Neodiprion lecontei: one gene and its partners. The protein of the gene in region 1 binds, or shares a complex with, the protein of each later gene. Links are inferred from orthologs where the notes say so. Each region holds a gene or a part of one and is shown in the gene's direction. Other genes may lie near its edges.

The links.
Region 2: actin-related protein 3 (region 1) and actin-related protein 2/3 complex subunit 2 share a complex: the UniProt entries of both Caenorhabditis elegans proteins name them as parts of the arp2/3 complex. The link is inferred for Neodiprion lecontei from reciprocal best matches to the Caenorhabditis elegans genes arx-1 and arx-4.
Region 3: actin-related protein 3 (region 1) and actin-related protein 2/3 complex subunit 3 share a complex: the UniProt entries of both Caenorhabditis elegans proteins name them as parts of the arp2/3 complex. The link is inferred for Neodiprion lecontei from reciprocal best matches to the Caenorhabditis elegans genes arx-1 and arx-5.
Region 4: actin-related protein 3 (region 1) and actin-related protein 2/3 complex subunit 4 share a complex: the UniProt entries of both Caenorhabditis elegans proteins name them as parts of the arp2/3 complex. The link is inferred for Neodiprion lecontei from reciprocal best matches to the Caenorhabditis elegans genes arx-1 and arx-6.

Annotation. Positions count from the first base shown.
Region 1 is NC_060261.1:1,974,744-1,983,098, forward strand, and holds actin-related protein 3, read left to right. Parts: upstream 1-3,235; 5' UTR 3,236-3,431; coding exon 3,432-3,475; intron 3,476-3,764; coding exon 3,765-3,945; intron 3,946-4,139; coding exon 4,140-4,454; intron 4,455-4,791; coding exon 4,792-5,109; intron 5,110-5,189; coding exon 5,190-5,408; intron 5,409-5,488; coding exon 5,489-5,668; 3' UTR 5,669-5,748; downstream 5,749-8,355. Other genes in the region: glycosyltransferase 25 family member, read left to right, coding at 1-39, 1,308-1,476; transcription factor 25, read right to left, coding at 6,797-6,980, 7,059-7,252, 7,322-7,636, 7,698-8,007, 8,089-8,342. UniProt on the Caenorhabditis elegans protein: Functions as ATP-binding component of the Arp2/3 complex which is involved in regulation of actin polymerization and together with an activating nucleation-promoting factor (NPF) mediates the formation of branched actin networks.
Region 2 is NC_060262.1:1,738,487-1,746,342, reverse strand, and holds actin-related protein 2/3 complex subunit 2, read left to right. Parts: upstream 1-1,517; 5' UTR 1,518-1,663; coding exon 1,664-1,737; intron 1,738-2,345; coding exon 2,346-2,439; intron 2,440-2,549; coding exon 2,550-2,649; intron 2,650-2,918; coding exon 2,919-3,105; intron 3,106-3,197; coding exon 3,198-3,418; intron 3,419-3,495; coding exon 3,496-3,697; intron 3,698-3,816; coding exon 3,817-3,844; 3' UTR 3,845-3,945; downstream 3,946-7,856. Other genes in the region: mitochondrial-processing peptidase subunit beta, read right to left, coding at 1-107, 231-449, 844-912; transmembrane inner ear expressed protein, read left to right, coding at 5,728-6,082, 6,151-6,326. UniProt on the Caenorhabditis elegans protein: Functions as actin-binding component of the Arp2/3 complex which is involved in regulation of actin polymerization and together with an activating nucleation-promoting factor (NPF) mediates the formation of branched actin networks.
Region 3 is NC_060261.1:15,630,208-15,638,043, reverse strand, and holds actin-related protein 2/3 complex subunit 3, read left to right. Parts: upstream 1-3,529; 5' UTR 3,530-3,683; coding exon 3,684-3,689; intron 3,690-4,063; coding exon 4,064-4,240; intron 4,241-4,330; coding exon 4,331-4,526; intron 4,527-4,647; coding exon 4,648-4,802; 3' UTR 4,803-5,544; downstream 5,545-7,836. Other genes in the region: translation initiation factor eIF-2B subunit epsilon, read right to left, coding at 1-1,239, 1,668-2,363; small nuclear ribonucleoprotein Sm D3, read left to right, coding at 7,184-7,499, 7,748-7,836. UniProt on the Caenorhabditis elegans protein: Functions as a component of the Arp2/3 complex which is involved in regulation of actin polymerization and together with an activating nucleation-promoting factor (NPF) mediates the formation of branched actin networks.
Region 4 is NC_060264.1:35,278,070-35,285,367, reverse strand, and holds actin-related protein 2/3 complex subunit 4, read left to right. Parts: upstream 1-3,883; 5' UTR 3,884-4,158; coding exon 4,159-4,161; intron 4,162-4,627; coding exon 4,628-4,954; intron 4,955-5,036; coding exon 5,037-5,207; intron 5,208-5,297; coding exon 5,298-5,303; 3' UTR 5,304-5,653; downstream 5,654-7,298. Other genes in the region: CTTNBP2 N-terminal-like protein, read right to left, coding at 215-330, 467-562, 656-1,280, 1,405-1,629, 1,730-1,831, 2,793-2,987. UniProt on the Caenorhabditis elegans protein: Functions as actin-binding component of the Arp2/3 complex which is involved in regulation of actin polymerization and together with an activating nucleation-promoting factor (NPF) mediates the formation of branched actin networks.

The DNA of each region.
Region 1 (8,355 bases):
TGACGAGTACCTGCCTATCCTCTTCGACAAACATCCCAGGTGAAGATTTAGGGGGGGGGGGGGGGGGTAGAGCTTGGACGGTCTAAAGTCATACCTATTTTTAGGTTTTTTTTTTTCTCAGAAAATGAAAACATTCAGAGCAATTTGAGTTTGCGGTCTTTATTGTTTACAGTTTCAAGAATATTTTAGAAATTTTTCATTGAAATCAATAACGAAGTGGCGGCATGGCGAATATAAGTAGAGAACGACGACGTTTTCAATACGAAGGCGCAGATTCCTCGGTCAAGTCTTATCCGATCGACTTGAGATTTTGACACAATTTTTAAAACTTGTTTATGAGTTCGAACTCGTGGCTAGATTTTTAAATTTTAATTCCGACATTTTTTGTTCATAATCGTATATACTTGAAGTAATTTTTTTTTCAATATTTGGGCTACGAGTTCGAAACCGAAGAGGTGTTTTTAACTCGGAAAATTTTTTCCATCTCCTATAAGTTGGACAGTGATGTCAAGAGATGCGCCACCACAAAAGTCCTCGAGATTGAAGTCGTTCGCTACTTATGTGCACCACGCCGCCATTTTTGTGTTAATTTAAATGTAAAATTTTCTAAAATATTTTTCAAACTATAAATAATAAAGCCTTCAAATTCAAATTGCTCTATGTGTTTTCATTTTCTTTAACAAAGAACTCCTAAAACTATGTATGATTTTATATCGTCAAAGCTACACCTCCTCCTCTCCCCCTCCTTAAAATATTTTGACTTTCTCATAGTCTACGGAAATTGCATTCATGTTTTCTTAACGACGTCGAGCCGTATTTACTTCTTCTACAACTTTCGCATACTTATTTTATAAATTTCCAGCTGAAACTTGATATTTCATTCGTGTATTCATGCATAACAAGTACACCGGTAGCTACTTGCAAAAGCAGAAGCTACGCTGGCTCCGAAATTGGAAGACGGGGGGATTTTCAGAGCGCACGAAAAACAAACGAAAACTAACACAATAACAACCGTGACGTAATCTTACTTTCCCTGTATATCTTTCGATTACCATACGAAAGGCACAGTGATTATTGGCGTTTGCGCAAAACATACCTGTTCGATTTCCCCGATCCACACCTCTATGCATACACTCATTCTTTTTCACATCGATCAGTGGAAATTGAATTTTTGTTCACGTTTCCGGCTAACAAAAATGTACTGAGCGTTTAATCGTCCAATTATTTCTCCCCCGTTTCTTGTGGTTTCAATCACACGTTTAAACGTGATTAACGAGTTTGTTTGTTGGATCGACACTTTGACACAGGACTGCGTGGAAGGGTCATTTTCCTGAGAGAGATTTGATCGCCCTCTCGGCTGCCCCGCTTCTCCTCTATCCGACGCATTACACTGGAGAAAGAGGTTACATAAGCGACACGGAGGACTCTACGGTGATCACCTCGTTACCGGGAACCAAGACTCGGGAAGAGCTGTAATCCAGAATGAGGCCAATTCTTATGATGTGGGGGTGCGGCTTACATTCCCGTTTCGCCGTTGCATCGCGCAAACTGCCAATATCTGCGTTGACTTACGACCATAAGACTCGCGACTTCTAGCCTTCTGTGATTGTCATTTCAGCTCGATTACCATGATTATGCTTTTTAATCTTGCGAGGTAAACGCTAATTGGTTAATTCATACCATCGATTATTATCGCTCTGTATGAGAAAATCTTCGTCTGAAAATAAACTCAATTCCACGTTTCGTTAAAATTATTACCGTTTTATATTCGGGCGATATTCTTTTCATTCGTGATACATTTCAATCTCAAACTCGTGCTATGCGCAGATATTGGGAATACTTTCGTAGATTACTATTATTGTCTACCCCTTATCATGCACGTATAAATAATTAGCCTATATTTTTTATACTCCACTTACCACGTCAATTATTTGTGATTTTACCTATTGGTATCCTCTGTAGACGTATTATAAATTGCATGTTGCCATATCATAATGTAACCTATATCAAACTGATTGATCAAAATACTTCTGTAGGTTATGAACACTTGTTACCAATTTTTAAGCGGTCGAATTGTTTATGCTGATGTAAAAAAAAATTGAAGCAGAATGAAAAATCAAGTCGTTCTATTTTATCGCCTTGATGATATTCTCTGATATTCCAGCATCCTCTTATCGTATCCTACCGCACGAAACCAGGCAACAACGACATTATACGCAACACTCGATGCGTGCGAAATTCAATTTTCGCACCACAGAAAAAAACTCATAATCTCTTTGAAATTCGAAGTTTCACTGCTGGTAAAATTTTCACGAAATCTGATATGAAATGCGTAAATTCTATGGAATCTGTTATAATTGAATGAATTGAATAACTAATTGTAACGTTTTCTGCCTAGCAGAGCACGGAGGGATATTTCCTTCGAAATTATAAGATACGGGGAGAAGATTAAAACATCGACGAGACTTCATCTCATCGTTAGAAGCGGTTAATTTCTAACCCTAGAACGCATGTACGGGGTCGTAAACGACCCCGGCCGACTTTCAAACTGCACTCCTGAGTTAAAAATTGATATCATCGGCTGGGGACCGTGACCATAATTCATTGTCACTAACTGTTAGTGAAGTTAAGCTTGCTTGGCATCAATTGCTTGCTGACAATTGCGCAGAACAATTTTAAAAAAACTGGTGGGGTCGCTAACGACCCCCCTATAAAGCTGCCGTTGGCGTTTCGTGGCAGTAAGTGAATGTTCCGTTTTTTCTATTCAAATCAAAATATTTGTCTTGTTATTACGTAATTTAAACGGCAACAGTCATATGTTGTCTAAATTTGTCTTCGGCTCACCTATGGCTCATATTGAAAACTTACGCTCGGCCCGAAAAGTCTGAGTTTTCATCCTTGTTACGTAATATACTATTTTGCCGGTTTTTAGTACTATTTGGTAGTTGATTGAATTTTTCACCATTTAAACTTCAATAAGATTAAATTTGCTCTTCATAATTCGTTTCTTGATTAAAAAAAATGAACAGATTTATGCATTTTCGAATCCCATTATTACTTATAAAATGATTTCACGAACAAGAAACGCGTGGGGTCGTGTATGTTAGGGTTTTAATCTTCAAAGATTAAAAAATCCGTCGTAGTCCGCCTAATCGTATGTAACCTGTGCACAACTTAGGGTCTTCTTCGTCAAGTTTGTGAACGAGTCACAAGATGGCGCCTGGAATTGAGCGATGCCAGAGCTAGTATTTCACTGGATTTGCCGCTTGATGAATTCTGGGCAGGCTCGAGGAGAGCTTGACAAGTATACAAGTCCCCCTCCCACTGTCGTTATCGCGTATTAGGTGTGGTTTTTTTGATTTAAAAAGTACCGAATATTATCAGTGAAACGATTCCCAATATTCAGCGAGGGTAAATAGTAGGTACACAGAATGGCCGGACGCCTTCCTGCGTGCGTTATCGACGTCGGTACTGGGTAAGTATTCTCGTATATATAAAAGTTAACGAGCCCGATCACTTTGACATTCCCCAGTCAGTCAGCCTGTGACTAACCACAATGTTCCTACCGACCATGCACGCCCTGATTTTTATCAACTCGCGACCCACAAGCGGTCGATACTTTTGTTGAATTGTGATTTGTAAACGATCTTCCAAGATTCTCACATTCCATCATTTACTCGTTGCAATTACCATCTCTGCTGACGTATCCATCAAAGGTGTGAGTCAACGCTATCCAACCTTAATCTAACCCCCTTGTTTTCTAGGTATACTAAACTGGGATTCGCCGCTAACAAAGAACCTCAATTTATAATACCGTCCGCTATAGCGATAAAGGAAACAGCCAAGGTAGGCGACAACTCTGCGAGGCGAGTCACCAAGGGTGTCGAAGACTTGGATTTTTTCATTGGCGATGAAGCCTTTGACGCTACCGGATATGCAGTCAAGGTAAGCGTTGGTTCTCAGTTCTTATAAGTCAAATCACCTCTTCCATTTGTCGCACTAGGTGATTATGTGGAAATTTAAATAGCTACAATTTTTACACACATATTTATAAGCTTGTCTTTTCTTTTACGTATTCCACTTCGAACAGTCTTCTAATTTTCGAAACTGCATCATGATTTTTATGAAAAAATTCCAAGTACCCCGTCAGGCATGGCTTGGTTGAAGACTGGGACCTGATGGAGAGATTCCTCGAGCAATGCATCTTTAAATATCTTAGAGCTGAGCCTGAAGACCACTACTTCCTCCTCACCGAGCCACCCCTTAACACACCAGAGAATAGGGAATACACCGCTGAGATTATGTTTGAATCGTTCAATGTACCTGGACTATACATAGCCGTACAAGCTGTTCTTGCCCTTGCCGCATCCTGGACATCAAGGAATGTCGAGGACAGGATACTAACAGGGATTGTTGTGGACAGTGGTGATGGGGTTACACATGTTATTCCTGTGGTAGGTGTTTGCAAGTTTTACACATCGATCATATAACAAAATTCATTCAACTTTAGAGAGAGGTAGATTGTTAAAGACCCATCTTTGGAATGACGATTATAATCCAAGTAACTTTACGGACCCCGATGAAAACAATTATTTTTTATGCTTACACACAGGAGTCAACTGTTTTGTTATCAGCTTTTGTAGAGTTACTTGGATTATAATCGTCACGCTAGTTTGGTCTCGTAAAAACAGCCTCTTTAAGGTTGAGTGAATTTTATCAGGGGTCATCATAATGTGTTACTTCTGTTTTGAAGTTTGTTTAGCCTTTAAGGTCTTAATTTTTTTTTCTTAGGCCGAAGGATACGTGATTGGTAGCTGCATCAAGCACATTCCGATAGCAGGTCGCAACATTACCTACTTCATCCAAAGCCTTTTGAGGGAGCGTGAGATTGGCATACCGCCAGAACAGTCGCTGGAAACAGCAAAAGCGATAAAGGAAAAATTTTGCTACATTTGTCCTGACATTGCCAAAGAATTTGCTAAGTATGACAGTGATCCCACTAAGTGGCTTAAACGATTCGAAGGAATTAACAGCGTCACGAAACAGGCTTTTGGTGTCGATGTTGGATATGAAAGATTTCTAGGTCCTGAAATATTCTTTCATCCTGAGGTGAGGAAACTCCTTTCTCTGTTGATGAACCGGTATTATCACATATAATTGTAAACTGAACTAGAGAATTACCGTTTTAGTTCTCCAATCCAGACTTCACGACACCTTTGAGCGAAATAGTGGATAATGTGATTCAGAACTGTCCCATTGATGTGAGGAGGCCATTGTATCATAATATCGTACTCTCCGGAGGTTCAACGATGTTCAGAGATTTTGGTAGACGTTTGCAACGTGACATAAAGAGAACTGTCGATGCCAGACTAAAGCTCAGTGAAGCTCTTAGCGGGGGTCATCTCAAGGTAAAAAGCGCCGAACCATTGTGAATTTTCTGCCATGAAAACGCAGGTTTCAGCTGTTTCCTAATTTCAATGTTTTTCAGCCAAAGCCAATTGACGTCCAAGTGATATCGCATCACATGCAGCGTTGTGCCGTCTGGTTTGGAGGATCCATGTTAGCAAGTACTCCTGAATTCTATCAGGTTTGTCATACAAAAGCTGCTTACCAAGAGTACGGTCCTGGAATATGCCGTCATAATCCAGTATTTGGTGCTATGACATAATTGAACCGTAATTAGCGGATCAATGTGATAATAACTGTCGATTGAAATACGCACGAACCATAAAGCAATTCATTGATTTCCTTTTTTTTTTTACATAAATATATTAATTTTAACGAATCGAGTGATAAATCGGGAATCTAATCTGCGATCAGATTGTTTGCTTTCCTCGTTTCAAATAACTTATAAATATGAAAATGTTGAAGCGTTGATTTCTCGAGTCTAACAGGTGAGTGACTCACGTTGCAGGCATTTAATTAATCAATATTATACATACATATTGTATGTATCATTGAAAATTCCATAGGAAGGTGAATATTGTGTACAACACAAATAAGGAAACACATTGCAGAACAATTGTATAGAGATTTCACGTACGAAAAGTACGTTAAAGAAAAACAAAAACACAAAAATATCACAAAATAAAAAAATCTTTTCTAATTACATTTATTCAACATATATATTCATATTCTTTTGCTTTCCATGTAACAAAAAACTGTATCATTTCTCGTCGACAGCTTTTACACTTCGAGTTGAATGTACCCCACTTCAAAACCCACCATATCACCTTTCTGTTTTAGCTCATTAACTGAAACGAGGCAATTACAATTCAGATGAATAATTGTTCTCTTTAAATTCAAGATATCAAATATTTATACACAACACGGCGTTAGACCCGTTATTTTACATATATTCATGATATTTATTTATGAAATCAGGCGGTAAAAGCTTAACTTAAATACGTTTTGTTTACCATGTATAATTGTATACATCCTTCAATCACAGGCTAACGGCGAAATCCCATTATCACAAGACTTCACATACATATTCCCAAACTTAAATTGCTTTCTGTGTTCTCCGTATGTTTATATACGAGATCAGTCAACAGTCTCCTAACAATCAATTCACTAACGTACTCTTTTTCTCTATCTAGCAACCAGACTATCGCGCTGAATAAGTTTAACAAAATACCAGAATTGTCGGTTGAATTAAGACCTTTCTGCATTATATATGAAAAAGAGAAACGTGGTCCACGCTTAAAGCATGCGCGCTAAATATTAAAAATGGACGTATATCAACAGATGGATTTCGATGGCCATATTGTAACAACATTTCATGCTGTCACAGAAGCTAGTCCCCTTCCTGATCATTATCCGTGTCCTCCTCGGCATCGGCGTCGTTAACACCGTCTGGTGCCCTGTGTAGTAATAAATTGCCGACTTCGTGTAGCAAATTAGTTACAGCCCTCCTAAGATCAGCTCTGACCGCATCTCGGGCTACCTCGACGTTTCCCGCGTTGTCGATTGCGTTTTCGCTGTTAGAATGCAGTTGACATTAGACAATTCAGTGGTAAACTATGAAGATCAGAAGTAAGGTGCAAGGGTTTACTCACAACAAGTTATAGCCGTTTGCAGCCGCGGCGACAACGTCTTCCTCAATGTCCGTAAAAAGGGAGGTAAAGAAGAGCGAAAATAGGTTGGAGTTGTTGGAGTTGCTTCTGGGATTAACTTGGAGTCGCGTGTACAAGTCGATTGAATCTGCTGGTGGTAGGGGGTCGTGTGATAAGACTGGTCCTTGATTTTGTATCTGAAATTAACGAGGCAGTGTTGTGTCTTTTCAGATGAACGAAGCAGGCGAATTTCGATAGTACGTTACGTTTAGCGTTTCAGGACAGACCTCCTGTATATCGACGGTTATTTCTTTGATGTCTGAGAGAATGATATGTCTCAAGATATTTTTCGGTAATTTCCCTTGATACCGCTTTGTGCGTTTTTCTGTGCAGAAGTTGAAAAAATCATGGCCGGCGTCAAACCGGTCTAAAACCTGATTCACATTGCGTTCAAGCCAAGGTAGAATGTCAGCCTCTTTCCACAGATGATAGCTGCGCGCCACATAGAGAGCTACAACTTTCTCCAATGCAGGAGGACTCGTGGACTTGGCGTGACTGTTGAAGAAATCGTGACCCATTACCTGAAAGAATTCAGCGCTTATTGACTTCTACTAGATATTAACAGGAGTGAAAAAAACTTACCCTCGAATCTGTCTGCACTCCACATTTGTCCAACAATGGTACAAGCAAACTTGGAAACATGGTCAAAGCATTTTGAAGAACCTCATCAGCCAGGCCACCAGTTCCAAGATGAAAATTGGCCAATGCTGAACTGTACGCAATATTAGGAAGTTGGCTAAGATTTCGTCTGTCTTCCCATGCCTCACAGAATTCTATGAACCATCTGTACTCTCGTGCCCTCAATGCGTAAAAGTCTATCGCCAGGACTATCGCCAATGGATCATTTTCAGGGTCAAGGGACAGCAACATTTTACAAAACTCCAAACTCGTCCTGAACAGAAAAAAGCGTTTGTAGGTAACTGTATTCTAGAATTTTTCAAGGTTTTCACAGTCTATCATATCTGTTACACACCTGTAGCAGGCTCGGCCACCAACAAAAATCAAATGTTTGAACAACGTTATGTACAAGGCACGATTTTGCTGTTTTTTATAATCCAGCCTGCATTTAGCAGTGGTGACATTGAACAGGGGATGAAAAGCGCATTCTAAGCAATACAAGGCCCTCTCCGTTAGTTCAGCAGCCATAGCCAGATCTTCGCTGAGCTTGCAGAGTTCTGCCAGTTGTAGTAAAGCATCAACGTGATATGGATGGGCGTTTATAATTGCCTGTAATTCGAGA
Region 2 (7,856 bases), on another chromosome or scaffold:
CATTTTGCATAGAACACAGTCTGTTCCCTGCTCGTGTAGGCATTCAAGTGAGCTCCCATGTTCTCAATTTCCAGTTCCAGGTCTGTCTGGGAGCGTTTGGCAGTTCCCTGAAACAGATGTTAAATATTTAAAAAAATAAATTGCGCACGGAGCTTGCACAGATGCAAAAAATGCTGATCTTCAGGTTTATGCTCCTTCCGATACGGACGTTCTATCCATTAAAACCCTACCTTGAAAGCCATGTGTTCCATGAAGTGAGCAACTCCGTTGTTCTTGTCGTCTTCATACCGACTTCCGGCGTCGATCCACAGCCCAACGGTTGCCGTAGCAGCGCCGCTGTCTTCGCTGGCAACTCGCATGCCATTTTCAAAGGTCGTGGTCTTCGTGGCAGGCTGATTGATCAATGTCTGCTGAAGCGATGCTGCAGTGGACCTCCATTGCTTGGAGATCTGAAAAGGGGATGAGCTATAGGTTTTGCAGAAAAAGGAAGACTGCCAATTTTGAATTCTAAAATAAACACTGGGTATGGCAAGAACGTTAATTTCTCATCTCTTTTCCACCCATTATTGATCGTGGCATCGGCGGTACGGTGTATTATTGGATTCAGGATCGGAAGCTAGAATAACTTGAGCGATACTCGTGCGAATTGACGCCGTAAATATGAATAAATTGTGAGCTACATTACGTAAGGGGATACTACTTTGAAGCAGAAACAAAATTTGACTGTCGAGAACGGTTTTGCTCGCCGAGTAATCCCGTAAAAGATTTCCGAAAAATGTTGTGCTCGGCATAAGGCGAGACATCGACGAATCGTTGCGAGGAGTGACAGGTAGATGATTTTACCTTGACGTGACTGGTTTTATTCGAATAAGTTCGCAGCGCGGAACTAATCCTTAGCAGACGAGTCGCCATTTTCAGGTCTGGTGGTGTCTACCATGAAACACGAACTAAGAACGAGGATCTAGATGATACAAACCACTTTGCCGAGGTATCGCGATCTTCTAAGTGTTCAACTGTCGGAACGTCATCTTGTGGATTTTGCACAAACTGACTGTGAGTAGTAGCGAAAGCTAATAAAAAGAAATCGGTGCAAGGTGATTATATTCGTTCGATCTAGGCGCTAAATAAATTCTGTCATGTTTCACAGAGTAAAACGCCTGTCAAATGTAAATTAAAAAATTTCTGAAAATTCTTGCGCTATATTCGTTCTCTTCTGATTAGATTCCATTGCCAGGCCTCTGGCGTGTGAAATATATGTATATATTGTAATTTCATCTATGACTTGATCTAATTCAGTCAACGCTCCCATGTTTGAGATTGTTGGTAAATTTTGTATTTAAATTTCAAAACACCCGCCTTGAGGTCGGCCATCTTTGACTTTTGGAGCGCTGCCTGGGGGATGTCGAGATGAGGAATTGATTGTTGTTTACTTCTTTTCCCGCAGGAGGGTTCGAGGGGCCGGCCTAGCTCCAATGTTAACGCGGATTTCCTGCCGCTGGAGCGGTTGAGGATCCGAACCCCACTACACCCAGTCGAAGTGGAAAGATTAGAAATTAGTCAGAGCCGTCGTATTCGGTATTCATGGTTACAACAGCACTATATAATTGTTAATTATTGTATTATAGCATATTATATTCTAATAATAAAAATATTAGTCGTAATAATGATCTTACTTGAGATCAACAATAGGATAATAGAGGAAACGTTAAATAACAAAATAAAGAATGCCTTGGCTGGGTAAGTCTGTTTCGATGTTAAAAATTATACGAATAACTTTTTTTCCAACCGTTTATTCGTTTCATTCACCTAATTCCCTTTTTTTATTATTATTATTATTTTTTTTTATTTCTTATCCATATCAAACTAACTTTGAGGTTGGGGCGGTGTCTCGCTTTCGATATACCGCGGCTCTTTATATATCCTTATCTGATTAATTGCGAGAAACCGTTTTAACTCACTTCCCGGGGAAACTTGCGATTAGGAATCGCAAATGACAGAGAGTCAGGCCCGACCCTAGACTAACCTCACCCTGTCTAAACTTACTGGCTTTGACAGAATCTGTCAAGTGATCAAAACTTTTCTTTCCCATCTCGCCTACTTTACGCACCGATCTGCAAACTCTTATCTCTCGTTGACCACATCCTCCCACATTTTCACTCTGATGTGCAGATATCAAGAAGCTCCAAAAATAGAACAATTTTTCACACCTTTCAAATTGGAGCGTTCATTATGTTGAGACTTTAAATGCTACCGCATGACCGTTTGAATCACAAGGGGATCATGTTAATACGCGAAGCGCTGCATTTCGTTACTGCGATACATATTTGCTCATTTTCTTGTTACAGGCATAAACCGGAATCGATAGATGTCAAAATAGCTGACTTTGACGGAGTTTTGTTCCACATTTCCAATGTTGGAGGCGACAAAACCAAAATTAGAGTACGTATTCTGTCAGTCAATGACGAATACTTAAATCGTATCGTTGCCAAACTAGTCCACATGAAAATATTTCTGCACTCTCATTTTATCCGTATCTTTATTCCACACAGATTAGTATCTCGCTCAAGTTTTACATGCAGTTGCAAGAACATGGTGCTGACGAATTGCTCAAACGCGAGTATGGCCCTTTACTTACTACCGAAGAGGATGGTGAGTTGCAATTTTTCCAGAGTAATGATTTGTTTAAAATCCGTGGTGCTGATTGTTACTCTTGTTCCTTTATTTTGATTTAGCAAAAAATCTTCTGGCATATTGCCTTTGATTAAAAAAAAAAAAAAAAAAAAAAAATGAAAAGACTAATATTGTGGACTAATTTCTATCTCTTTGGATGTTTTCCTGTACATCAAGGCTCACTCGTTATTCTACGCTTTGCAGTGCCCTGTGAATGAATATAACAAATTATTTATCTTCTTTCCAAGGATACAATGTGTCGTTGCTGATAGATTTAGAGAACTTGCCCGAGGATTGGGAAGCGTTGGTCAAAAATGTTGGCCTGCTGAAAAGGCACTGTTTTGCAAGTGTATTTGAAAAATATTTTGACTTCCAAGAAGCAGGCGAGGAAGGCCATAAAAGAGCAGTAATACAATATCGAGATCAGGAAACACTGTGAGTATCGTAACAAAATGTAACACCATTTTTGCTTTAGTTGAAATCAAGTTCGTTGAGTCAGGAGAAATTCATTTTCCTCCTATTTCCAGGTACGTAGAGGCCAAAAGTGACAGAGTAACCGTGGTATTTAGTACAGTGTTCAAAGATGAAGATGACATAGTTATCGGCAAAGTGTTTCTACAAGAACTCAAGGAAGGGAGACGGGCGAGTCACACCGCGCCACAAGTCCTCTTCAGTCATCGGGAGCCACCGTTGGAGCTTCAAGATTCTGACGCGGCGGTCGGCGATAATGTGGGTTACATTACTTTTGGTAAGTACTTTTCGAAATGCTTTTCCAAGTGCTCGTTACTTATCATTCGACAACTTATTATATGCCTTTTACGGCAGTGCTGTTCCCGCGACACACGAATCGGGAGGCCCGTGACAACACCATCGACCTGATTCACATGTTCAGAGATTACCTGCATTACCACATCAAATGCAGCAAGGCGTACATACACTCAAGAATGCGTGCCAAGACCTCAGATTTCCTCAAAGTACTAAACCGCGCGAGACCCGAGCCTAAAAACATCGAAAAGAAAACCATAACGTGAGTATAAATTACAGTACTTGACAAAAAATCGCTAGCAATTGTTTACCTAGAATTCTGATCCGTAATTGCGACCCTCTTTGCTAATTTTTTTTTCACTTATTTTTGTCTTCTTGCAGAGGTCGAACGTTCATTAGGAAGGAATGAGCCTACGAGTCAATCGATAATGTTAATACTAATTAAAACAGAGATGAACGAGGGACGTTCAATTACCTTGTGTCGTCATCTAAGGTCCACGAATACAAAAACAAAAAGATGATTCGTCCTTGAAGCGACGGTCCCGTTTAATAAAATTAGTAAGCCAAGAGCTTCCCATCCCACAGGCCCGAGTTTATGCTATAGTATTTGGCTATACAGGCTAGACAGGCGATAGTTTGAGTGTACAACAATTCGTAGTAGATTCTTGTAATTTTTGTTTGTGTAATCCGTTAATATTTACAATTTCGTCTTTAACTATTAATTAATTATTGCCATCGTACCTTCTACTGCATTTAACATGCCTAACTTCGAGTAATTTTTTGTGTATAAGTACTTTTCAATGCATTTCTTTTTCAATAATTTAACTAAAGATATTTACAATAACCTTTACTAAACTTTTAGTTTCTCAGTTTGAGCCAACTTATTCTGATGTATGAACATATTTAATTTAAAACTAATTTTACAACAGCACCCTAGTTCGAACTAGCAACGTTAATGATAAGTGTTCAGTCTTAACGTAGTTGAAATAGTGCATTTCAAAATCAGAATTTGAACGAGGAAATTTTAAATACCTTGACTCATATTCAAAATGAAATTGAGCAAAAAAAAATAGGAAGTCCAATACGTGACGTTTGGGACATTTGAGTTGGAATATTTGAGTTACAAAATTCTGCAATAATATTCATCATCACGATGATCTTTCCAATTGCAGAAAGCAAAACTTGTTCCTGACTATTGTAAAGAAGGTATTTTTTTTTTTTGCATATCGAAACCTTTTCTCATACGTCAGCACTACTCGCTAGTCATTTAGACAAAGTAGCATCCAAGTTGTTGCGATCAAAGTGACGATGTGTGGGAACTGTTTGAAAATTCGCTATTTTCAGTGGTTTCATTTTGATCAAACTACATGACTATCCTGTATCGCACAAACACTCTGACGTCTCTAGCTCCTGTTTAGGAAAACTCTGTAATGAAAATACGGACTAGTGACGCCAGGTAATATTGGAACTGGAAAAAATGTTGTGGTTTACCCTGATCCTATCTACTGTAATTATAAAATTATGAAATTGAAAACAGAAACTAGTACATAATCTAAAAACAGAAAGCTTCAGACCGAAAAGAAACGATAACAGATAATCAAGAAATTTAACAAATAAAAAAATGAAGTGGATACCGTTAAACGACGTAGTTTTTTGCGTCGTACCCGCGTAACATAGTACATTGTTTTTGTAACAAATGATTATTTTTATTTCCAATCTTTACCTATTATTATTATATAATAATTATTATTATAAGGTAATAAAAAAAATATTACAAATAACGAAATGCAGTGCAAAACAAACAAATAATATTTAGCCCCTTTTTAAGTTTGCTAATACTTTCCAATGACGACATAAACTTAATAATGGCAATAATAACTCTCTCCTCGGAGTCACGGAGATATTGATCTTTGATCAAAGAATAGGTTGAATCATGCGAAGCAGTAAATTAGGGAGTGCCAGTTGGAAATATTCATTAGTAACCATGCCACACCCTCCATGCCACTCAACTTGATCACAAACCCATTCTACATTTTCAGTGAGATAGGATTTTTCGTCCGGAATACACTGAACTAAATGCCTCTGTGCAACAACTGTGCCAACTAATAGAACACTTTTCAACGAATTTTATTTTTGTAAAAGAAAATAAAGTCCTCTGCCAGGGGTTTTTCCGTGCAGATAGTTATTCACTTACCAATTTAAGCAGCCAAGATTTTGTCAAGATATATCGACACAATGTAACGAAGACCCAGTGTATTATGTGAACAGATAGAAAATTCACCCGAATTTTCAATGGACAAAGAAACAAATTTGACAATGCCAAGCTCCGCTTCCTCGACGTTGACCGTGCCACCCTGTTCTCCGAACGAAGTGCCGATAAGGCATGGAGACTGTGGCGACGGTGGCGTGAACGAATGGCTCGAAGACGAAACCGTGGCTGGTTTTCGGGTATGGCAATTAGCTGGAATGGTTCTCTCCGTTTTGTTAACTATCATAATAGCACTGTGCTGCTGCATAAGATTTAGAGTTCCTCGGACGAAGCAGGAGATCGAGGCTGACTATATTAGGAACAAAATAACAAGGCGGTTCAGGAAGGAATTAACAAATATAAATAACGAAGAGATGGACGAAATGGACTTGAAACGAGGTAACAAAACAGTCAAATCACTTGGTCATACATTGCCTTATTAATAAAATAACGTTTTCTTAACTCAGCTCTGGACAGAGTACGAGCAAGATTTGATGCCGAGACTGAGCTGCAGAGACAACAGAAAGAAGTGACGTACAATGAGCCGACGCGTGGATTCAGAGCAAGAGTAAATGCTATTTTGCACGGAGTGCATTTGCGACTTGCCCGAAACGAGCCAAGGGAATTGAGCAATGTGATTTAAAAAATTTGCTCCCAAGAAGATTCTACATCGACGAAAAATTGCTGTACAGATTATTGCAAAACAGTATAAATAATAAGAGTAGTGTAAATTTTCTACAATTACAACTTTTGATCTTGGAAGAAATGGGTACAAATTTAAAAGCCAGAACGGATTGTCAGAGTAAATATAATCTTTATTTTAAAGACAGAATACACAAATTATTTTCTGTTAATTTAATTCACATGCAATAATAATAATAATAATAATAATTAACCACTAATAATAATGATAGCATTCCTCTAATTATTAATTCTCACTGTTTTTTTTTTTTATTCTTATTTTAAAATTCAGAGCTGTCGATTTTTCGAATCGAAAACCTAGTTGGTTGATAGCTTGTTTTGAGATTACAATTAAGAATATAATGACTAGTCGCCGACCGTTGCGTTACCAGTATTTTAAGTTTCAACATAGAGTTTTCATCGGTCGCTACTACTATGACATATTGACTATTTTTTACTGGAAGTAGCATCAGTGTTATTAGTTATTTTGTGTTTTCAGTGATTTCAGAGACAAAGAGAGCAGAATATAACGCCAACGTAGGCATTTCGTTTGACGAATCTCTCCTACTGTCAAATGTGAATAGGTGTCGTTAAAAGGTGATAAAAAAAATATTATCATAATAATTGAGAGAAATGTAAGGTAATAATTATTGTAGTTAAATGAAAAAATAGAATAAACGTAGAAAACAAAAAAAAAATACATGTCAAACCGCCAGTCTAAGTCTATTATCGGGTAGAATATGTTTTACATGGATTACCGTCTGCTTTGGTACGCTAACAGAAGACAAGCTTAAATTTATCCTAACGACCACACAATACGGTACAATACAATCATCGTTTTACTTCCAATTCACGAATGACATACTCATATGATTAATGCTCAGACATCGCATGCTCTCTTACATCCACTGGAATGACTAACGAGTAGAAAAACTGGGCCGTTATCTACAATTCATGAAATGATATCTTCTATATTTCATCTTAATTTGACAAGTACAGTTTACAATGAAACTTACTCGAGTTAAAACTAACATGACAAGGGACTGCAGATCAAGACTCTATAAATTAAGTAAGCAATATGAAATCTAAAAACAAAAAATTAAATGCCCTTTTCAAATATCGTAGATAGTCATCGCGTATACTAAAACTACGATTAAGGACTAGATTCCTATTTACCTGTCAAATCCCTTGCCATTTTCATCCATATCAGGTTTTTTTTTTTTTTTTACTACTAAACAAGCATTCTTGAGTCGACTAGTCGTAAAAGCTCTGAAAGTTTTTGTAACAACGTTGATATAAGAAATTGTGTCTATAGAGAAAAGGTGAAAAAAAATAAATAAATAAAAGTTACCAAATCTTGCACCCGGAATTTGTTCATAAGGGCATAAAATTGTGGCATAGCTGACTGAAGGAGCAAATAATTAGGTATGACAATTTCAATAATAGGAAGCATCGTTCCAAAAGCACTCGCTCGTTTTTAGGGACACGATTG
Region 3 (7,836 bases), about 14 Mb from region 1:
GTCTTCTTCAGCTTCGCGTAGCCATCTAACCAACGGTTGAATGTCTTTTTTCATTTTCAGTCTCACCTGTTTCTGCATAACGTCATCGTTATCCTCATCATCGAGCTCGTACCACTCAAGAATTTTTTCCTCTGACAATATATCACAATTGTATAAATTTTTGAACACAAACAGAATTGAAGATACAGTGTCCAATGTAGCAGCAGTGTCTTGAATAGCTCGCAAGCAATCTGTCTGAGCTTCATATGATTTGACATAGTTCAATATAACCATGTCAAAATACTCCAACATCAGTTTCAATGTCTTCTGGTAGCTTTTTGACGAAATTTCTGAACCAGAATTGCTGAGATACTCCATTGGTAAACTTAATACAGCTTTAACTACGTTGTAGGAAACTTCGCGAATAGTAACATTGTAAGCATATCTTGATGAATTAATTTCTAGTATCAAATTCTCGCATTTGACTTTGTCCTGATATCCTCGCATCAAACTCTCCATCACTTCTGTAAAAAACATGTGCGTATCATCAGTGAGTGGCATCTCAGCAATCGATTCTTCATCGCTGCTACTGTAGTCTTCAAGATCATCAGAATCATCGTCGGACTCGTTTGTACATGTGTATTTGAAATAGGGTAATTCTTGATCAGTGTCAGGATGAGCTTTGCTCATGGAGATGTAAGTGATACAATCATTTGAATCAATTTGCATGAGGGAATCCGTGTGAACACTTTCCAATTTCAGCTTAAATTTCGGGCCCAAAATACAGCCGTCTATCTCAACTGAATTACCCAACTCACAGCCGGAGAATAAAACTGAATTTTTAACGATACAATCATCCCCAATTCTCACTTTACCCAGCAAGTAAGAATTTTCAAGTCTCACATTATTCCCCAAGTTACAGCCTTCTCCAATCACAGAACCTGTGATGCGTGTGTTTTCTCCCACATTACTGTTTGGACATACCACACAATCCCGTTCCAATGTACAGCCCTTCCCAAGAATCGAACTGTTGTGTTTATACGTACATCTACGTAGGTACAGAAAATACATACAACTTGGCATCATCTCAATGGTTAGGGGATATCCACGTTTTTGAAGTATGTCTCTGATTAAAGTATTGTAATCCCTCCAAGATGTGACTGGCAGCGCGTATTCTTCTGGATCTAATTTTTGCCAGTAAATTCGAGAGTCTAGAATTTCCTCGTTGATTAAGACTCCTCGGATAAAGTCTTCCATGGTCTGAAAATGATGTTGAAGACATTCAGTTGATAGTAAATTCATTCCAATGTTTAGAAGGGTGTTTAAAAATTTCAAAACAATTTAATAAACCACGATTAGGTGTTAATGACAATCATAGAATAGGATGTAAAAATATCATTGAGTAACATTTTGACGTTAGTATCATTGTAACGATGTATGTCGAGAAAAATCGTTACATTATATTTTCAACACTTGATTCCTGCAAAGTTATTCTGGAATTGCAACTTATTTACTTTTTCCTCAATGTTTCGTAACGTTGACATCGCTAACTTCAGCCTTGTTCAAAAACACAATCCAAACTGACAAGTCTATTGTATTTCTAAACCCATTCTATAATATCGTATTAGAAGCTTGCGTATCACATCAAACTTTTTCAGCAGAGTTATGTGATTCTGAAAAGAACTTACCTGAAAATCGAAATTGTCAGAAAACAAGGGAAGCACCGACGCTGAGCAAAGGTAAATATGAGTTTCCAGTAAACCGCTGTGTATTCGGACACAATCGTGATCCAAGAACAACTGTAATTCCAATTTGACTTTTCTGTCTTTCTCTGAGAGTTTTTGATGAAACAAAACTTTGTTATTCGAGTTATCAGCGGCAATTAGACAAGTTTTGTTTTCTTTCACCGGAAAATTGTTAGATCCTAAATCACGGAATATCAGCGTCATCGCAGCGCCTTTGTCTTGTTTTGACTTAAATCGATGCCAGTCGAGAAGCCTCTTTAGATTGGCATTGGTGAAAGCGTCGCCTCTGATCAGGATGAAGTCGCCGCGAATGATACCTTTGCTGTCGATGTCTCGGAGAGCATCGCCAAGCGAACGGCAGCCATCAGAGACGATTAAATGTACATTGATAAGACCCTTGTAATTTTGACTTTGTACGTACGATCTCAAAGATTCAACGTGGTTACTGCAGTACAAAAATAACTCCTGTATATCGTTCCTCACTAAAGTTTCTGTCAGGTATTCCAAAAGTGGAATATGAAAAACCGGCATCAACGCACTTGGGTAGAGCGTCTGCATGGGATGTAAATTTGTGGAGAAGTCATCTGCTAGAACAACAGCCTGTCGGACCTCTTCTTTCTTCAACTCCGTCGCTGCCATTTTATTAGATATTGTACAACCGGTGATTAACCCACAACTATCTTGTTAACGATTGTTAACCCTCGATCACCCTCAGTCCATCCACAACTGTCAGCATGGAATGCGTTTATACTTCTTCTAGTTCTTCTTTCTTTTGGCTATTTCCAAGTCCTAAAGATGGCGCCGATTATTCCAGGGACGTAAGATATCGTATTTGAACAAAGGTTATCGTATTATTGGATTATATTAAAACGTACCATTAATGATGCGTAGAATATTTTAAATGTCATTATCGTAACCGTATATCCCACGCAATACTCAATTTATATGCGATTTTATGATCTTCTCTCATGTCGGCCACCCGTATGGCGCGAAAACCTGCACAATTGGATTTTTTTAAAAATCAAAGTAGATCTAGTTTCCAATAAACTGTTGTTTATTATCATGAATATTAAAATTGCAACAAATATATGCTTATCGTAGATTATCTATCGTCCTCTGTGTCTTTTGATACGTCAATGTTTGAGTATATTTTCTTACGCATTTGCAATTTTAGTACACCACTTCATTAGCGTTGCCATAAGCACGGTCTTACATACAGGTCTTGAAACTCATCAAAAGTTGCGTGGTGGGGGAAATACGCTTACGGTGCATTTTTTGTTTTTCGACGCTGCCGCCAGTTCGCACCACTGATATATATATACACGCGTGGTGCCGTCACGCCAATTGAACGGTATCCATTTTGTACAGATTCTTGTCACTTCAGATATATATATATATATATATGTATACGTGATATAGGTATATCTTCAGTCAACGAACTCTGATTCGAATTTGATTCAAATGTAAAATAAATAATTGACGTGCTCCAACACATGTGGAAAACAATATTATTTGTAAACTTAGCATTGAAATCACGTAAACTACAATGCCGTATTCGTTTTTTACGAGATGCGTTGATAATTGTAGAACGTCAATTATTTTCTGGTCATTGCAATCAAATTTGAATTGGAGTTTCAGCTTTTTCCAAAGATTCGACTCGCGGCCACCAGCGGAGTGCTGCGGGCAGCTAAGCATATTTCTTTCAACGAACACCCTAATGCACATGTGTGATAGTCACGTGACTTTCAGCAAGATTGGTAGAGGCATTCTGCGCATGTGTGACTTTTACGGTTTTATACGTATTGCGACAGTATAACTCCACTACTGACATACATGATATAGCGATATCTGGCCAGACCCCACCAGATTATAGTTTGCCTGTAATAATTTCTCCACCCTTGCGGCGTTTAATTTCATGTTTAAGAAGATAATCAATCTACGAAAAAGTATCTGTCAAACATGCCTGTGAGTCTATCCTTTTCAATTTACTCAAATTAGTAATACAAGACTTATTTCTGTCTTGAAATTGTCGATTTGGTTTTCCGCATTCAGGAGCTGTCAAATGGGTGTATCCCTTTGATATCATGAATCATAACACGGGGTCACAATTTAACAGTGTCGTTGACCTTGATCCAATCGACCTACTAACGAGATGTTGATAGTCAAAGATCACTTCAGATTTACTCTTGAAGTAAATCACGGACTATAATTTTACCTAACCTAATTTAACTGTCAACATGCTATTACCGTGTCAATAAATTCTGACGTGTTTTGCTTTTCTACTATTGATAGACTTTCTCACTTTCACATTATCATACCAATTTTGCATAAAATTTCAGGCATATCATTCAAGTTTTTTAGAAAATAACCAAACGGTTGGCAACATGGCATTGCTACCGTTCAAAACCCAGTTTCGAGGACCAGCACCGTCATTCAGTAACAAAGAATTAGATATAATAGACGAAGCTTTGTATTTCTTTAAAGCAAATGTTTTCTTTCGAACCTACGAAATTAAGGTAATTTTTTAATTTGTATAGTTACATTAAGTAATGTATGTACTGTACACTTATATTACTACCACTTCTTCGCCCTTAAATATTCTACAGAGCGAAGCTGACCGAGTCTTAATTTACATCACTTTGTACATCACTGAATGCTTGAAGAAATTACAGAAATGTGCAAACAAAAATCAGGCAACCAATGAGATGTACACCTTGGCTATTTCCAAATTTGATATTCCAGGAGAAGCCGGTTTCCCATTAAACTCTGTTTATGCTAAGCCAAATACTGCGTCTGATGCTGGTAAGACCATTGAATAACAAAATCAAACACATTTTCCTAATTTTTTCACAAATTGCTACCATTACTTCAAGTGTAACACAAATATGAATTATATTCTAAATGTTGTAATGGTTTTTTTCAGATTTAATGAGGCAATATTTACAACAGTTGCGCCAGGAAACTGGCATTAGAGTCGTAGAAAAGGTTTATGGAGAAGATGGAAAGCCCAGCAAATGGTGGCTGTGTTTCGCCAAGAAGAAGTTTATGGACAAGTCATTATCCGGACCTGGCCAATAAATTGTAAATTATCTTCTCTTACAATTCAATCCAATCGCTGTAAGATAGGTTCATTTTATGGCTCTTGTCTTTTTCTGAAGAGTGAGCTACATGTTAATTATTAATTGTTTTTCACACTTCTATTAACATCAATCAACAATTTTTAGAATTTTCCTGCAATGTTGAGTTCAATATGTTTAATTTATTAAGAAAAAAAAATATCCGGCTGATAGTTGTAATCAATTTTAAACTACTAAATGTTCCCTGTTACGAATTAGATAGGATTTCATTGGAAAAATATTGTGTGTAGGTAATTACAAATCCTGCAAACACAATATGTTTAATTAAATAAGGAAAGAAAAAAATATCCGGCTGATAGTTGTGGTCAATTTTAAATTGCTAAATGTTCCCTGTTAAAAATTAGATAGGATTTCGTTGGAAAAATATTGTATGTAGGTAATCACAAATCGGGCAAAACACACTTCAATTGTATTGTTTAATTTATTACAGATAAAAAAAATATCTAGCCGAGAATTCTAGTGGATTTTAAAGTGTAAATGTCCCTTGTTGTAAATTAGATAGGATTTTGTTGGAAAAATGTTATAGGTATGTAGATAATTACAAATCAGGCAAACAAATGGTACGCACGCATGTGATGAACCAACGGCAAAGGTAAAACAATTTGTGAAACGTATAAATATACCTACGCATATTCATCCCACGTAATATAATTTTCAATAAAAACTTTATTTTATATTGCGGATATAAAAATCGGATTTAAAAAATTCAGCCATAGCTTCATTTCCCGAAATTTCTCCGAAATTATTTTCGGCTAACATGCATTTCACGATTAGAGCATAAGTGTACGCAATACATCATCTTCAGTTAACGTGCGACGTGCTCCAAGAATTAATTTAAATCACTAACGCCTAAGGGCTCAGTCTCACAAGCCGCGACGCGGCATGCATTCGTTCTTGGCGCAGCGGAATTCGCGCTTCCAAAAACCTGCAATCTTATTGGTTGCTGGATCTGTGTTGCCGCACCGTGCTCTGTGAGACTGAGCCTTAAGCGAGGTCTTTGTATACAGGGTATACAAGTCTGAAATTGGTATTTAAATACCTAAATATCTACGCGGTAGAAGAAGCCCTGATTTTAAAGCTAGTTTATAGCCGCTGAAATCGCTGACATCGACTGATGTCAACGGGGATGTATGTAAAAAGGCTGTGTTCGTAAATTGACTGACAGTACTGAAAATTCCCTAGGACAGAGTCAGAGCTATCCACGAACTTGGTAGCGCAAAAGAGATAAAAGATTGCTGACAGTACTGTCAGTCAATTTTCGAACACGGCCAAAATAGATGTGTGTCCAAACCGCTCTTGGTGCTGTTTTCGCCACAAAATGGCTGAGCTTGGCCAATCGGATGCTGATGAACTTGCTCAAGACTTGGCACAAGATGGTGGCAAAGTTGATTGCAATTGATTGGACTAACAACTTTTGGGAACTTTGGTGACACGGAGGGTTAGACAGAGATGGACAAGAACGAATTCTTTGCCAGAGATCAAGCTATCATAGGGTTTTCGAAAAAATGCAGCTACGTACACATAAAACCTACTCATATATATTCATGCCTAATCCTATATGCTCTAAAGTCCGAAAGTGTTGACCTTGTGCGACTGCAGCGCTATCTACCAGCGAAAGAAACGAGGTCCGTTTGATCAACGAAACATTTCATTTCTTTGTAATCCTCCATATACAACGGTTCCGATGCCACTTGAGTGGGATTACTCTTACACCCGTATTCATATTCCTTCCTTGAGGAACAAGGATTCCTTCACGGAGTAGTAGGAAGGAGACAACACTCTGCGATAAAACTTGTCCCCAGTTTTAAGGTACCGTAAGTGGAATTGTCTAAATGCGATTTGAGCGCCTCTTACGGAAAAAAGTGAAATTTCCGCTATAAAATGTAAAAAAAAAGGGCGGCAATCATAACCTATAAGCCTCCGTTTTATAAACACACTCCGTAAATTAGTAAAATACGCATCTGAAGTGTATCCACGTAGAGAAATTAAAAAACGGGGACAAAACGCGTACAATTTTTTAGTATACGAGCAGTGGTGAGTGTCAGGGGGCTGAATACGGGTATTGGAGCATGTATAGTATATTATATGCTCTAAAGTAAGCCGTGATGCCGACCCATGATGCCGACGATAAGCCAAGTGGCCAAAATTCGAACTAAGTAACTCTCCGGCCATTTTCGTAAACGAAACGAAAGTGGCTGGCGTCCGTCGACAAACGTTGATGCAACGACACAGACTTCACACGGGTATAAATCCGTTTCAATCGCCAGTTTTTTCGTGAGCTAGTGAGATTTTAGTGTCGATTATCGGAACATAAGTGTCAAAATGTCGATCGGGGTGCCAATTAAAGTACTTCACGAAGCCGAAGGTCACACTATAACCTGTGAAACTAACACCGGCGAGGTTTACCGCGGAAAGTTAATAGAAGCCGAAGACAACATGAACTGTCAAATGCAAAACCTGACCGTCACTTATCGCGATGGACGCGTAGGCCAGCTAGAGAACGTTTACATTAGGGGCTCAAAAATAAGGTTCCTTATATTACCGGATATGTTGAAAAATGCCCCGATGTTCAAAAGACCCGGTGGCAAAGGCGCCGGCACTGCGGGCAGAGGAAAGTCTGCAATACTACGGGCACAGGGTTTGTTTTTTCACACCAATACAAATAGATCTAGAATCTTTCAGTTTTTCATCAAAATCGAAGTCCGTAAACATGTTTTGGCCTACTGAACATTTTATTTCAGCAATGTGGAATGCAATCCGATTCGAATTCATATTTCTGTTTGACTGGCAATGTTTCAGAGACTCATTTTTCTAACAAGTTTTGCACTTTTATGCATCAATATTCTTTTTCCAACGCAAATTATCACCGAATATATCTATTTTTAGCACGGGGCAGGGGACGAGGTCAAAACCAGAGAGGCAGAGGCACGGGTTCGGCCCCTTGGTTGAATCAGCAAAACCAACCAGGAGGTTCA
Region 4 (7,298 bases), on another chromosome or scaffold:
GCAAGTTATTGGAAGAGCATGTTAACAAAAAGGTAAGATTTTTTTTTGTTGTTTTCAACACCCAGTACCACAAGCTGTGCTATCCAGTGGCTAATTGATTAAGAACGGGATGATTATTGTCATAGTTTCAGACATTCATCTTCTTCAGGTGTAAATAGGCTTAGCGCTAATACTAAATGAGAGTAGAATGTGTTGGGAAGTGTAGTTGGATTACCTGTGGCTCCGTTGGCATGGAAGTCTCACCAGTTCCTGTTGATGGTGGTGGTGGTGCAGTATAAGCGACGTTCCTCAAAGCTTGCCCTGGCGTCACAGATCGAGCAAATCCCGTTGCTGCAACAAGTAAACCATGGTAAAGTAAAAATTGTTAATCCCATTCCACGCTCGACCGATACTTCCTTCTTTTAACAATCCAGGAAGAGATTAAATCGAAGTTGAAAAGCGTAGATTTGGAAAGTTTGAAACTTACTGGGTCCGCTTACTGGAACGCTAGATACGGTAGCTGTTGGCTGAACGACTTTACTGCTCACCATAGGTGTTCCTGTTCCCAGAACCGTGCCTTTCACTTGGCAGAAAAAAGGTATGAGAATAAAAATTAAGTATTGAACCATAATGGTGTGCAAAATTGCTTTTTCGCAAACACGACGTTTATACTTACGCGTTTGCGGGGCAGTCGCAGTCCTCATGGTTGGCATTGTGGCTAAATTAGCAGGTTTCGCGGGTGGAGGTGGTGGGGCCACACCGACTACCCTAGCGGGTCCGGTTCGACTCTGAGTGTCCTTCCACGTCTCCATTTCAGCTTTCAGTTTTTCTATTTCTACCTCGAGCTCTTTGGCCCGTTTCTCTTCTTTGATTATTGCTTGCCTGTACTGTTGCCTCTCCATGTCAAACTGCGCCAGTTGCTTTTCAAGCTCGGCCTCCATCTGCAAAGACTTTTTGCTTTCCTCTTCCAGCCCCTCGGCCATGGAATCTATCCGCACCTTTTCCTCGCTCAAAATCTGGGCCAGATCCTCGGACCTCTTGCGTTCCTCTATGTACTTCATTATTATCTTCTTTCTCTCTGCTAACAGAAGCAAGACGATTTGCTTTTGCCGATTCTTCTCCTCTTCCAGTGTATCGTTGGCTTTTTTAAGCTCAAGCTCGATTCGTTTTTTCTCCTGTTTCTCAAGCTCGAGCTCCTTTTTAAGTCGTGTTCTCTCCTTTTCAAGACCGTACGTTATGTCGTCACCTTGAGCCGTGTCGTGCTCGTGTTTTCGCTTCTCTTCTTCCAACTCCTTGATCACCTGAAAAATCCAATGAAATTGTCTTGTTTGAATCTCAGTACTGGCTTACTTTGGTGGTTCTTGTCTTCCTTTTTTTTTTTTTAACACGTTAAATTTTGATAAATTCAATCAAATTTACACTTGCCGCTCTATGCCTTATCTCTGCATCCTTGAGAACTTTTGCCATACGACACTGCGTCCGTCTTTGCTGCATTACCAATGCTTCCAGACTTGCGACTTGCTGATCAACTTGCTTCTTATCCGCGACTATCACACCACCCAAAACGGCGTCATCCCTTGCCAAAGCAGCCTGAGCATCGTTTGTGCCGCAAAGGTAACGCGAGTTCAACAGATGCTTCATTTTCTCTGACTGAAATTGAAAATTTTTCACGTTTCCTCATTCTTTTAGATTCTTCAGAGCTAAGTAATCTATCATCACTATATTGATGTTTAGGATATTATAGAGTTACTTTTAAAGCTGCTATGACGATGTCTCGTGCTTGCAATTCTCCTTCCAAGTATCCGAGAAGTTTTAACAGATCTTTTTTCTTCAGTTTCATCTTAGGGTTACGCTGTAAATACATATATATGTGATTTTTTAGTTAACTTTAGCTGCATTTTCTGCGAGTTTTATAGATTGAAAATAATAGAGTACGAACAAAGATTTGAAAATTTACGGACAAATAAATGGAATATGTAGTTTTTTTTTTTGAATTTCTGATAATGATGATGATAATAATAATAACAATACTGATCAAGTAATTTACATATTTGAAACAAAAATTGTGAAACCTTCGTTTGGTTTTTTTCCCTCAGATTCTGTATTTATTTGAATAATAAGTATGAGACGAACAAAAAAATACCTCTTATCTAATCTTCACACTCGTATAAAAATCAGATAAAGTATGAAAGATTGAGTAAACTGCGCATGAAATATATTCAAATGTTTTAGATAAATACGAATTGCAAAGTAGAAACAATCACAACTGATCATCAATTTGGATAACAATTTCTAAGAAATTCGACGTGTACAAGATATTAAAATTTTCGCCAAATATCTATTATTAATAAGGAATTTAATTATTCAGTTAGTTAATAATTACATTTAATCTGACATGGATGATTCGTGTTACGGAATGTTTTTTATCACCAGATATATGGTGTGATAAAGAACTATTGGGAACAGACAATTGATTGGGAAAATGAAAAATTTCGTTTATAAAAACAGACAAGACCCAAGTCTTAGATTAAAAAGAAAGAAGCTGAAGAACACAATGGTTGTTATAAATTTTACAACGAAGAACAAACTGCACTGCATTATCTAACTGGGATTACCAATCTGGTAAGCGAACCAAGAAGAATTCCTAAAAAAGATTAACCAGAGAATTCCTGAAGCTGCACAATCTCGGTCATTGTACTTCCTGCGCAAAACCCCCACAGTTATGTCATATCCAAGATGAAAATACAAAATTACAGATTAACTCAGCCAACGATAAGTTTCTTCTGCTTGTAATAAATTAACAGAGGGTATACCTTAAGGGTGTTCGATGAACTCTTGTCAATTGGTTCAAAATTATTTGTCTGCTGCTGAGGCTGTTGTTGCTGTTGCTGTTGCTGCATGGTTTCCTGGGTGGGTTGAGACGATTTTGGAGCGGATATATCGGGTGATGCGGATTGTCCGTTAGCGGGCGGATTTACGTTGACAGAATTTTGACTTTGCGATGCCATCTTGGGTTTTCGTTGTCAAATAAACGCGTGGTGCGGTGATATGAGGTTAACGCGATGTTTTTATTTTAACTCTTTTTTAACGTCTGACTGTGATAGATCAGCAGAATGCCTCTGACGGCAGTTGTTTCGGCAGTTTAAAAAGCGGCGAAAAACGGCTGCGTGCCGTTCCTTTCTACACCAGTTAAAGACAAAAGACAATCTCGCGTTATTTGCCGGCTACGGCGGGCGGGATGCGTGTCAAATGCTAGTCGGTAGTTGGTTTTAATTTAGAAGAAATCGAGCAGACGTCCTCTAATCCGAGGGCAACGCAGCCCCGAGCCAACGGGCAAATACTCCGAGCATATCATCCCGGCTCCGCGCGATAAACTCGGGGTCACGTTTTAACACCCGTCCGATACTCTCTTACTCGACGACCGGGCCGTTTTCGAGGTACAAATCAATCTCCTCCGATCCCGGGACCACGGAGTTGGTGAGTACAATATAATAACCGAGGGGAGAATCAAGAATCTCTACCTTCGGTGACAAATCAACCGACAACCACAAAGCAAACGATATTTGCGATTATCGAGCTGCCACCGTGAATCTTCATGGAATCAACCTATCGCTTCCGGCGGTGGAAAACGACTCATCGATTCCCCGTATCAGCACTTGATGTGAAACAACGTATTTCAAGTCCTTTCAACCGTTGAATTTTTATATGCATAGAACGCCTACCTACTTATGTAGGACGGGTTTGCTGGCGAAGGACACGGGGAAAATTGCAGTTTTCTGTCGTTATTGACTCGTGTGCATCGGAATTTTACACGATCGTCGGTAATGCAGAAACGTCAAGTTATCTCCGGGCCCACCGAATTTGGGACGCACCCATTTTTTATATTCAACCCAAGTTTGGCGGAGCAGTCGGATTGTTTAGTACTACAGCCGCCAATAGATGGTGATGCAAAGGCGTGTCTCAAATCTGTCACAGCCAATGGTCAAGAACGTCAAGAACCTATCCTCTCAACCCAACCCTTCAAGTTTGGGAATGTGTCATTTGCTTTGGGTTGAGTGAATTATTAGTAGCGGGATTGTAGGACCTGAAAGTGAGAAGTTGACTACAGAAAGCTTGACCGAAAATTGAAAACAGACCAGAAATAAACGGGCTCAGATAAGGATAATATACAGATAAACAATGGTAAGTAGTTCATGTTTGTCTTGCCTCAAAGTTTAGGTTATGGTTACTTTTGCTTTCCACCTCTTTCCCTTATCTTCTACACCGGATGTGATCTCGGCTTGATAACAAATAAGCTGGAACGAACGCTTTCACATTTATATTAAAATAACGACAATACAGTACTCCTGTTTATTTCTGGAATCCCTAGACCAAAATTGTTTAGACCTACACCTACTTCGTATGAAAATCCATTCAATATCGGAATGTTGAATAATGTTTTTTGTGAATGATATTTAATAAAACCAACACAGAGATTGATCATTTGAATTTGATATCTAACTTATCCTTATACCGATATAAAATTTTTGATACCAATAGTTCCGGGTTCTCGATTAGACTTCCTGTTTTTCCTCTCCAAACATTTATTAGTTTAGCTGCAGAGTGATATACATGTTCAAATATCTTTATTAATGATGCATTTTTACAGTCGGCAACATTGAAGCCTTATCTAACAGCAGTGCGACGTACACTGACAGCAGCGATGTGTTTGGAAAACTTTTCCTCCCAGGATGTAGAGCGTCACAATAAGCCAGAGGTGGAGGTGATGTCGAGTAAAGAGCTTCTCCTGACCCCAGTGATGATAAGCAGAAACGACAAAGAAAGGGTGCTGATTGAATCCAGCATCAATAGTGTCAGAGTTAGCATATCTGTCAAACAGGCTGATGAGATTGAAAAGATATTATGCCACAAATTTATGAGGTTTATGATGATGCGTGCTGAGAATTTTGTTATACTTAGGAGGAAACCAATAGATGTAAGTTGCTTACTTTGACCAAGACCTCCTTTCCAATACTCCAGCAACTGGACCACAATTGTTGTCACATTCTCACTTCCAGGGGTACGATATCAGTTTTCTAATCACAAACTTCCACACTGAACAAATGTTCAAGCACAAGCTCGTTGACTTTGTTATTCATTTCATGGAAGAAATAGACAAGGAAATCAGCGAAATGAAACTATCTGTGAACGCGAGAGCTCGAATCTGTGCAGAGGAATTTTTAAAAAGGGTTAGTATTCAGCATTCATTGTCAGTTGTGTTTATTCTTTGGAATAATACTCTTAAATAAAGTAAACTTTCATTTATTATCCGTTTTTAGTTTTAGCCTGTTCACAAAGCTACAAGATCATAGCCGAAGGAAAATCGGGATGTCACTATAGGACTTGTAAGCTATATTGAATCGCTCAAATGTTGATAAAAAAAAAACCCTGTGACCCCTGGTTAATCGGTAATTTGTATTTAAAAGCCGTTCCACCAATGAGTCATCCATGTGATGACGTGATGTCAATCGAATTTTTTTTACCTGCTGCCATTCCGGCCTTACGTCACTTATCAGTGCGTATTCTTTTAGAAAAAAAATATATAATACTGTAACAATCGATGAATAATAATTATAATAGTGCTAGTAATAATAATAATAATAATAATAATAATAATAATAACAGTAATGATTAACTACGATCTGTCGAGTGTCTTTCAATTCCTTCTTACCTGTTTGGGTGAAAATGACTATGTGCGTATAAAGTACAGTTTTTTGACGAATAGCTCGTGGACAATGTGTGAATTCGTTTGAAAATAATTTTATTCGAAAAAGACCATTCGTAAAATGGCAGGTAGGAATGTTTTACGGGAGTGCTAATTTTTTTTAAGAAAAGAATATGGAAAATTATGAGTGAATTTCTAATACAGTAAGACGTGTAACAGTAATTTCCGTTTGAAAATAGCGCGCGGTGGCTTTTATCGACTGCAGTTGAGTTTTTTTCGATGAGTACAGAATCTTTTATATCCGTGGCGACCTATTTTTTTTGATAATCCCTTTAAATTATTTATGATGTTGGTGAATTGCCGAAAAAAGACGAAATTTACGGAATGTTCGTGAACTTTTTTTACCTCGAACGGCTATTCTACCAAATTATCGGACGTCGCTCTGTTTACCAATCGAATTACAAATACAATAAGCATTCGAGATTTCGATCGTCACGAAAAAAAAAGTATTAACATGAATTCAAAAGGATTACAATACCTCAACTCTCGGTTAGATACTAAGAAAGAAAAAAATTTCAGTCGATTTTCAGCGGGAAAAAAAAGAAGAATTATCCTCGGTGGGTAAATAAAAGAGAGGAGGCGCGAGTGAAAGACAGAAAAAAAAACGATAGAGAGGCGCGATTCGCGCGCATCTAACCCCGTTTGCTCGGTAATAACGGGGAGTCCCCCCCCCCTTCTGGGCTGAAAGACAAGCAGAGCAATGCGCGAGAGGGCGGAAGGGAGAGAGAGAGGAGAGTGAAGCTCGGCGTTGCGGCGCGGCGCGAGTCGCGACTCTTCGGGTGTTCAGAGCTTGCGCTTTTCAAACGTCGTGCCCCTCGACCCCCTGCAAACGCACGCCGACGCAAGCGGTAAGCGGCAAGGCTTGACTATATTCTCATCTCGTAGCTGGTGGTGTTCCACTAGTTTGGGACTGCGTCTTCCGCACGGTAACGAGGGTGTACGACGCCTCGTAAGCATCGGCTGCGGGTCGGTCTGATAGTTGAGTTTATTTATTTGTTTATTTATTATTTATACACTCATTTTGAACATCTCTTATACATTCTCCCCGAGTGTGGTGTGTGTTTGGGTAGGATGCTTGTGCGTGGGTGCGGTGTTGCACCACCCAACAATTACCAGCACCACCACCGTAACAACGAAGATAATAATAATAACAACAACAACAATAATAGTAGTAACGATAATAAGTACGAGAGCGGCAGCGTGACCAGTGCGACGCCGAATATCAAAAACGAGAACAAAAGGAGCAGGAGCAAGAAGAATCCCAGACTGACCGACGACAGTGCAGGGAAGATAGAGCAGAATATTATCGAGAGGTTTTACCTTTCTAAGTCGATCTGCAGGGATTGCCTGCACGAGATATTTTCCTCAAACCGCCGAAGAGCAGATCAGCGAAGAGCCAGCAAATTATTTGTACTTATTACGAAACGACGGTTAATTGTGGTGTTGGTGGTGTTTGTTCTCGTTGATATCCCCGGAGAGGTTGACGCTCTATCTTCGAGTTCTGTGCGGCGGGAAATAATAATATTAGTAGTAGGATATTTTTTCACTATTTTCT